2 linked regions of the Danio rerio genome follow. The main gene of each other region encodes a partner of the protein of the gene in region 2 in a complex. Links are inferred from orthologs where the notes say so. Each region holds a gene or a part of one and is shown on either strand. Other genes may lie near its edges.

Evidence for each region. The genes of interacting proteins can lie anywhere in the genome.
Region 1: tent4b (region 2) and zcchc7 share a complex: the UniProt entries of both Homo sapiens proteins name them as parts of the nucleolar TRAMP-like complex. The link is inferred for Danio rerio from reciprocal best matches to the Homo sapiens genes TENT4B and ZCCHC7.

Annotation. Positions count from the first base shown.
Region 1 is NC_133176.1:23,283,782-23,288,894, forward strand, and holds the start of zcchc7 (zinc finger CCHC domain-containing protein 7), read right to left. Parts: upstream 3,525-5,113; 5' UTR 2,966-3,524; intron 273-2,965; 5' UTR 247-272; coding exon 152-246; intron 1-151.
Region 2 is NC_133182.1:38,081,839-38,086,275, forward strand, and holds part of tent4b (terminal nucleotidyltransferase 4B), read right to left. Parts: intron 4,024-4,437; coding exon 3,903-4,023; intron 3,820-3,902; coding exon 3,712-3,819; intron 1,710-3,711; coding exon 1,581-1,709; intron 634-1,580; coding exon 420-633; intron 1-419. UniProt on the Homo sapiens protein: Terminal nucleotidyltransferase that catalyzes preferentially the transfer of ATP and GTP on RNA 3' poly(A) tail creating a heterogeneous 3' poly(A) tail leading to mRNAs stabilization by protecting mRNAs from active deadenylation.

The sequences.
Region 1 (5,113 bases), on a different chromosome or scaffold from region 2:
TTAAATAAGGCTGGGTCAATAAAACGGTATCAGTATTTACGGACCGAACACTATTGTCAATAAAAAAATCTTTATTTACAATTTTATCGTCAATAAAAAAAGTTTGGTATGAAGGCCATAGTTTTATCAAATGTGTCTGTTGAGCGCACACCTTGGAAGGAATCCCAATAAGCTTAGGGTTATTTCCACAGCTTGCGCACAAAAATAGGGAGCGACGCACACATGGTTAGAAAGTGGTGAACACATGACGCACTCGCATTTTCCAGGTGCACCTAGTTGAAAACATCTCAATTTTCCAGAATGTCATCGAGAGATGCCAGGGAAGCACAAGTGCAAATCGCATTAAAAATAGTGAAGGAATCTACGCGCCTCACACTTTTCACATGCTTTTAGACACAATATGTGAACCCAAATACGACATCGCCACCTCAGGTCACAACAACAACACACACAAAAATTGTGCAAAAAGTGTCTAGCAACAGTGAGGAGATTGTAAGTAAAAACAGATGTAATGATGTCGCCAGAGTGGCTTTTTGATTTCTTATCTTGTGCATCCCAGCCACTAGCTCCCTATCTGAAAGATTTTTTTTTAGCATAGGGGTATCGTAGTCATTCAACTTCACAATTGGTATTTTTGCAATATGCATTTGAATAATGGTGGTTAGTTACTTTACTTGAAAGCTCAGGTTTTATTATTATATTTTTTTGTTTACAGAGTATGAGGTTTACTGTAATTATTATTATAGACATTTTGTTGATCTAATTTCAACTTTGCTCTGATTGTTCATCATTTACACTTTTTTTAGTGTTTACATTTTGCTAACAACTGGGATACACTGTTAAAATATTGGGCGCCACTGCCACAAAATTCCTAATAAAATATCCCAACCGCAAGTTAACCTAATTATTTTTACAAATTTAAATGAACTGAACATAAAACAATTAGGTGTACCCCATAAGAATTGTGTTTATTCATCTTATTTTAAATAAGTAGTTTGAACAAGCAGCAAAAATCCTCTTTTTTTGGTGTTTTTTTGAATGTATGACACCTGTTTGGAAAATTACAATTAAATTTGGATTTTGGGAATACACTTTAATTCTCAATTAGTGATTTGTTGTGTTGCTAAATATTCAGTTTCCTTGTTGTAAACTTGCCAAATAAATAAATGTATAAATTAAAATAAATGTGTATGATAAAAATTAAACATTTTAATGCAACAAAAATGTTTTTGCTGCATATTTATTGTTTTGATGCTTTTTGAACATTTATAAATTATAATTAATATTAAATAGAATAATAAGCATAAATATCTATTCCTTATTGATTGACTGACTGATATTTTATTCATTTTTTTTTTACTTAGTCCCTTTATTAATTAGGGGTCGTCACAGCGGAATGAACCACAAACTTATCCAGCACGTTTTACGCAGCAGATGCCCTTCCAGCAGCAACCCATCACTAGGAAGCACCCATACACTCATTCACACACACTATGAACAATTTAGATTACCCAATTCACCTGTAGTAGCACATGTCTTTAAACTTGTGTGAGGGAAACCGGAGCACCCAGAGGAAACCCACACGCCGCCCACTAATATTTTATCTTATTCAAAAATAATATTAATAACAATGTTTTATTTAAAAATTTTTGCAAAGTAAAACATTTTAAATCCTAAATCAATTCATGATTTATTATTAACTATTTTCACATCATTGCACACTATACACGCGTCATTTAAAGCCCACTGTAAACTCAACAGCCTTAAAATCGCAAATGCTTAAATTTTTTTCTTTACTTGAATCTGTAATTACAAATGATTGTGAGAAGTAGAAATAACATATAAAAAGAAACTACAATACACCTTTATATATTTTTAATGAACACATTCCGAGAGCAAGTTAAAGTAATGGTATTATGTAATGAATTACAGTGAGCACTTAAATGCTTTCACTTTAGTCCTCTTAAGAGTATGACAAAGCTTACAAGCTTTTTTCAGCAACAGGGCTGCCCAATATATTGTAGATTTATCATTATCAAAATAATAGCATATGCGCCAAGATTTTGTGTTGCATAAATAAGTTGTTTATCCAAATTTGGCCAATCAAATGGGGCCGTATTACATTTCAACCTGCTGTTATGCTGACCATTGTGTTTTCTCAATGTTTGCACCTTCACAGTTTTTATTAGCCTATAAGATAATTGATTATCTTATTATGATTATTACATTAATAAACATAAATAAAATTTGTCAAGAGACATGTTATAATCACAAACAAAATCACTGTAAGAATATTCAACAAAAATAACGCATGATGCATATATTTACTATATCTTGCTGAAATAGTCTGCATGATACAAAAACATCTGCAGATTTATTTGGGAACTCTACATTTGTTATAATTATTTTATGCAGTATATATAAAAGCTAAAGAAAAAAAAGACTAGGAACTAAACACAAATGTATTTTACTTACTCTCCAAAAACATAAAAAAAACAAAGATTAACAATACACAATATTGTTCTCATCATATGTTCAACACTGAGGTAAAGTTGGTTTTATATTCACATATTAATATGTGTTATAATAACTTATATACTCTATATAACTGTCCCCTAATTGTTTACCCAGCTAAGTACTTTGAATATTCTATCTGAAATCGCATGCAAGTATGACTTTAAAACAACATGAAAACTATTTAATTGAATGTAAACAATGATGTATTTTAAAAGTTATTGGCTGCTAATCTGATTTTCCTATTCAGAATTTAATAATACTTTTCTGAAATTATATTAAGGAAAATTTCAGAATATGCAAATATAAAACCAACTTAATTATTTACTTAACTTTATTTAATATGTTCAACCACCATAAATGCTAATCAAACTTACAAACAAATGCTCTAGAGCTTTCGTGACACACTTGAACAGCTTATATGAGACCAATTTAAAACAGTATAACGTACATACACTACAGTCCCTCGAAAGTGATGTTTACATGTATAACGTGGCCATAACATACATGATCTCTGTTTACAAAGCAAAGTAATATGACATAAACATAACGTTTAGTTTGGTCACTGTCAGATTATTTTACGAGTATTCGAGGACAAATATTTTGACATACTAGTATAACAATAACATTTTTATCTGTTTGTTTGTTTGCATATTTGCACAAAAGCATGTAGTTGAAATGGAGACTGTTTGACAACACCACATTAGTCCTAGACAGAGATTTGTGTCCTCAAATCCATAAAAACAATTCCAAAAAACATAAACTCATCTGATTTAACACATAAACAACACCACAGTGAATTGACACTATGCTAACTGAAAAGCTAAAGCACCCAATAAAAACCAACAACGTCAGACCATCCGCAACACTAAATATCTGCATAAAACCAGCAAGTCAACAAAACACTTGTCCTTCAACAACATTAAATGTACGCGGATATATATTTTACACGAATCTGACAAGCATGTGTTAGCTTCAGTGCTAGAAGTGCTGCTCGGAGACCCACGTGTGTTCACGTACACATGGACGCCGGCTGAGACGCGTCGCATTACTACTACACGGACACGGCGTCGTTTAAAAACATTTATAACCTCAGCTACATCAAATGGCACGTTTGAACAGGTTTACTACCAGACTGATTAAAAATCTGACCTGTTTATAAATTCCGATTTGCAACACGGGACACTACTGGCTTCCGGACTCCACAGGAACATGAAATGGTTGGCCAACTATTCGTCATCCCTGGGAAAAATGAACTAAATTTAGCACAAGCATCGAAAATTAGTGACTCTGAATATGAGGATTGTTTTAAAAAACTACAACTATGTCTGATCGTGGTGTTAATAGGAGAGCATTTGGAATATGAATTGTTCTTACTTGTATTTTCTTTTATACAAGATAGAATAAGAGCCAGTGGTCCCTGAAATGTAACCTACTGTAGGCATGAGAAAATTTTACAGAGTAGATAAAAAATTTACTAAATTTGATTCATTGTCATGAACATTGATACACGTTTAGCTTATTTTGCTATTAATAGCCTAATAATAATAATGTTTTGTCACTATTGGTTTTTAACAATGGACAATATAGTACAAAAAACTTCTTAAAAACAAAACAAGAATGATATAATTATGTACATAGAAATAGAAATAAATATGTGACCAGAAAATATAAGAACATAACATTGTTTCCTAACAAATATGAAATATGAGAACAAGTGCTCATATATTAAAATACATATTATGTGTATTGTAACTTTTTTTCAGCTCCTTCACTGTTACAAAAAAAAAAAAAAAACTTTTTAAACATATTTCAAACAATAATTTCATGACATATCAAAAGACTTAATTTAACCCCTCAACTTTCATCTCACATTTAGGTGAAGGAATAAGGAGTAAAGTTAAAAGGTAAGGATCTTTTTTTATTACACTAACCTGAGTTTTACCCTTAAAAGTAATTTATGTAAAATAGATTTACCCTCTATAGCATTTTATTGTTTCAAATTATTTAAAACAATAATTCAAAACTCTGCTTTCTATATAAAATAAATATATTAAATTTAATTTGATGCATCTCTATGTTCCCAACTTTTAAGTTCACATCTGAAATAAAAAGCCAACATTGTTACTTCTTGTAGAAGTATGTGGTTTAATTGAAATTTCATTCATTTATTAATCTTCTTTTTGGCTTATTCCCTTTATTAATCTGGGGTCGCCACAGTGGATTGAACCACCAACTTATTCAGCATATGTTTTGCGCAGCGGATGCCCTTCCAGCCTAACCCAACACTGGGAAACACCCATACACTTTTGCATTCACACACATACACTACGGCCAATTTATTCATTCATTCATTTTCTTGTCGACTTAGTCCCTTTATTAATCCGGGATCACCACAGCGGAAAGAACCGCCAATTTATCCAGCAAGTTTTTACGCAGCGGATGCCCTTCCAGCCGCAACCCATCTCTGGGAAACATCCACACACACATTCACACACACACACTTATACACTACGGACAATTTAGTCTACCGCATGTCTTTGGACTGTGGGGGAAACGAGAGCACCCGGAGGAAACCCACACGAAGGCAGGGAGAACA
Region 2 (4,437 bases):
TTACTTGACACATAAAAGTGTAAAGCCTGCAGCTCACAACAAATGTGGAAAGTTATTTGCGTGTCATATTAAACAAACTGTTTACAGCTAAATTAATGTAATTTTGCTCACATGGATAATTGAATATTATTCAGATGATGACATTACGCTGCTGTGCCATCAGCCAATCGATGCATTGCTGATCATAATTTCGAGGATTGATGGATCTGTCCTTAACATCTGCAATCGCAGCAATCTCAGATCAGTTTATCCAGATATTTTAATCTGATTCTCAAACTTGTGTGAAGAACCAAATTAGTTAGAAATCAGTTATCAAGATTAAAAGATCCAGAATCTGCCAAAATCATCTTAGATCATTTAATCGAGGTACGAAGAACAGACCCCAGGTGACTGTTTGAAGTGTGTCAGTGTGCGTTTACCTGGCTGCAATGGATCTTCAATGTAAAGCATAGACGGTCTGTATCCATCCAGCATGCTTTTCTGCACTTCATCTTTGGCCACATATGAGCCTCCGTCTTTGATTCTGATCCCTGTCTTCAGGTAGTTAAAATGCCGTCCATAGAGCTCAAAAAACTCAATCAGCAGTACACCCAAGTTTGGGTTTGAGCTGCTCACGTCCTCTCTACAGTGCAGCTGGCAAATAAAACAGCAACAGTAATTTGACTAGATTGTTGGCATATGGGCATAAAAACAATCATCACTGAATGAGTAATTTTTCAACTATAAAACAAATCTGCAGAGGTGTATGCCAAAATGTAAGATTCTGCAATCTGATATTCACAAAATATCACATCCTTCTTCAGAGTGTGAGAAGTATGAATTTAAAGCTCTATTTAAAGCTTTTCTGCTCACCAAGGCTTTACAAAGGGATGTGTTACATAATTTGCATACATAATTTGTCTGTTTCTATACAACTTTTTATTCCACAAACTGATGTGAGAGTTGATTTTTTTCTTTGGGCTTTTGCAAAAAATTAAACTGTAAAAAACCTTGACTGTAAAATGTTGAAAGATGACAAGAATTTTAAACCTGACTTCATCCAAATGTTCAAATGTGTGTACTAGACGTGTGTAAATCAGCATGTATTTAAAACAATAGCTCACTGACAAATTTGAATAAAAACAATAAACATAATATTAGATATTAAAACTATTTGGTTATTATTATTATTATTAGCTATTTTCACCCTATTCACTTGCACAGTCTTATAATTTTTAATAATAAATTAATTAGTTTCTATTTTAATTGATTTCACCTATTTTAATTTAACTTACTTATGGAAAATCTGAATTATCCACAGCCAGTTCTCCAATCTTCAGTGCCATATTATTATTCAGAAATTCTTATCATATGCAAATTTGATACCATATTTAAGAACCACAAGATTCTTTAAAGAATAAAAAGCTTAAATAAACACCATTTAAGCTTAAACAAACATTCAACAAGTATTTGTTCCAAATGAAAATCCTTTGTTATAATGTCACACTCAACTGTCTGGGTGCAGTGCATAATGCAAGCAGCCAAGTAGGATTTATTTAAGAGTACTAGCGAGTGTGTGTGATTCGAAGTAAATGTCTTACCTGTAGGAAGCTGACAGCCATGAGAAACAGACTGTATGATCCGATTCCTCCTGTGAAAACCTCATTCAGCTCTCTCTGCAGTAAAAACTGCTTTAAAACCAGCACCAGGTACGGTAACACAGGATATTGCTAAACAAAAAACACAAGAAAGAAGAAATTAAAAACCTACTTGCATTTTAACACTATACCTGCAACACAGAGCAATTGTTTTACATGCCTCAAGTGAGAATTAATTTATGGTTGCTTTTACACCAATTTACAAAGAACTAAAAAACAAAACACTTTGGGGCAGATGTTTTAGATTGAACTGCTTTTTTTAGATTCGAAGTGCTCTTTCATTTCAATATGCTTACGTACCAAACAAAAATGCAATGTTGTTTTAACCACTGCACCCGAAGGAGCTCAACTGAAACTTTATTTTATGCATCTTTACTTTAAGATCTGTAGTACTGACTCTTATTTCCCTGAATTGGTCCCATTTCAAGATCTCTTCTTCATTATACAGAACATTTCCTTTGCAACAATCACATGAAGCTTCATCTCGTTAAAAAAAAAAATAATTAATTAATCTTGTTGATATAATAAAAACAAAAATTCTGTCCATTTTTAATCAGGAAATCTCATGTCTTCAGTGTTTCAATTGTCGAAAGAAATCAATAAAACCGCGTATAAACAATGTCACCCAACATTAAATGTAGTTTAGGATAGCCATGAAGTCTGGAGAAGAGCATTTCTCTAAATATTTGGACTACATTAGCCCATGTATTGATTATATTTTACTTTAACTGTTAGTGGTTTCAAATAAAACTGTCATGACGGTCATATTTTTAAAAAATAAACTGCAGTACAAGCAGTTTCATAATCAGAAGTAGAACTGCCTTGTGCGAAAGTAATAGGGTTCCATAGTTAGTTTAAAGCAATAGCCAAAGACTTAGCCAACAAATTTGTCATATAAATTTAAATATATTTAAAGACAGAGCCAATTTTGTTCAGTAAACCACTGTTTAATTCTCTTTACCAAAAACAGCAAATCATGTCATTTTTGTGCACTGTTATACCATTACGTGAAAAAAAGCATTCAATCTTCAAAGGCATAGTGTAGTTGTAATGTGTTATTATAGGATCTGGTGAAGATCAAGTGTAGTTTGCTCAGATTAGCTTCTAAAATCTAAACATCTCCATTTTAAATTCTAATTACATTTGAGGCTGCACTTACACTGCATGGCTCAAGAGACTCAATTCAGATTTTTTTTCCCCATGTGGCACAGATCGTACAAGACCCATGTTCGTGTAAGCAGGAAAGAATCACATGGATTCTGACTTACTCAAATCAGATTCAGGCCTTGTTCATTTGTGGAAATGTATCTTATATGAATCGGATCTGTGCCCTTGTGTCTAGTAAAAGCAGGTAGATCGATTTATCACTTATCAATGAGAGTCACGCGTCATAAAAAATAAAAAAAATTTGCGAAGGACATAAAAAATGGAATGTTTTCATTCCAAAACAGACTTCAACAGAGTCCTGCACCTTAAATCTCATACACAAGGACTAAAAAGCTTTGATATTGTCATGTTGCACAAGTATTTAAGCATGTTTAAAGAGAAAGAGAGAGAGTGCAACATCCACCACATAACCAATATAAACTATTACAAAACTGTTGCATATATCATATGCATAAATCACACCATGGACATTACATTAAGATGCCTACAGGTTTAAAAGGTCTAGATTAAATGAAGATGGCCAAATGAGAACTTTGCCATAAACTATAGTAAAATAACAAATCAAAAAAAAATTTAAATAAATTTAACCCTGCAAACAGATTAAATACAGAAATGGAGTAAAGATTTTTTTTTTAATCATCAGCTGTCAGTCAGCGCTCTGTCTTTTTTTCTTGCTCATTGCACCTTTGCAGTGTACTGTGTAAATGCAGACAATCAGATACAAGACACGTTTAAGATATGATGCAATCGGGTTATTAAAAAAAATAAATATTTCAGATACTGTCACAAAATCGGAATTGACCATCAAGATCTGCAGTGTAAATGCAGCCTATAATCCCTTCTAAAAAAATTCAATTTCCCTCGAGACTCTCAGAGAAATAGACAATAAAAACAACTCCACACTCACCTGCTTGTAGTCCTTGATGAGGTTTGCAGCTTTTACACCACTCTGTACATTAAAGCTGATGTCCACTTTCACCTCTGTGTGCGAGTCCATCAACTTAATAATGGGAACCTACAAACACAAAGAGCATTAAATACATGCAGACAGACAACAAATACACTCAAGACACATGTATGACACACAGCAGTGCTTACCGTTGCTTTGTCCAGGACTTTAATAGAGTTTTCATCTGCAACTTTTCTCTTGCGTAGAGCCTCCTCCAGAGTCCAGAGAGGTAAAGTCTCCCAGTTACCAAACACCACCAAGTCTATATCACTGATATAATGACAGAGGAGAAAGTGTCAAAGTGAAGCAAAAAGAAAACATTCTCTTCATCAATAAAATCTTTTAGGGAGCACCAATGTGTATTTCAAATCTGTGATTCAGAACGATTTAGATTTTTTACATTTAATAATAAAAAAAACAAACAACAACGCACCTATGTTACGGATCAGTTTTCTAAAGGTACAACGAGGTACTAAGCCTAAAATGCTTCAGCAACTAGCACACATCTTAGCACATGCAGATTGATTCCACTAAGCCAGAGTTCAGTAATCCAGGTGACGTATAAATGCAGTTTGAGCGGTGTTGAGTAACGAGAGATTGGCTCTCGCAAAGAAAAAAATGCACACACTCAAAATCCCAGGAGACGCGAAGCTAAAAAGTCCAAATTTGAATTTCCTCAATGCA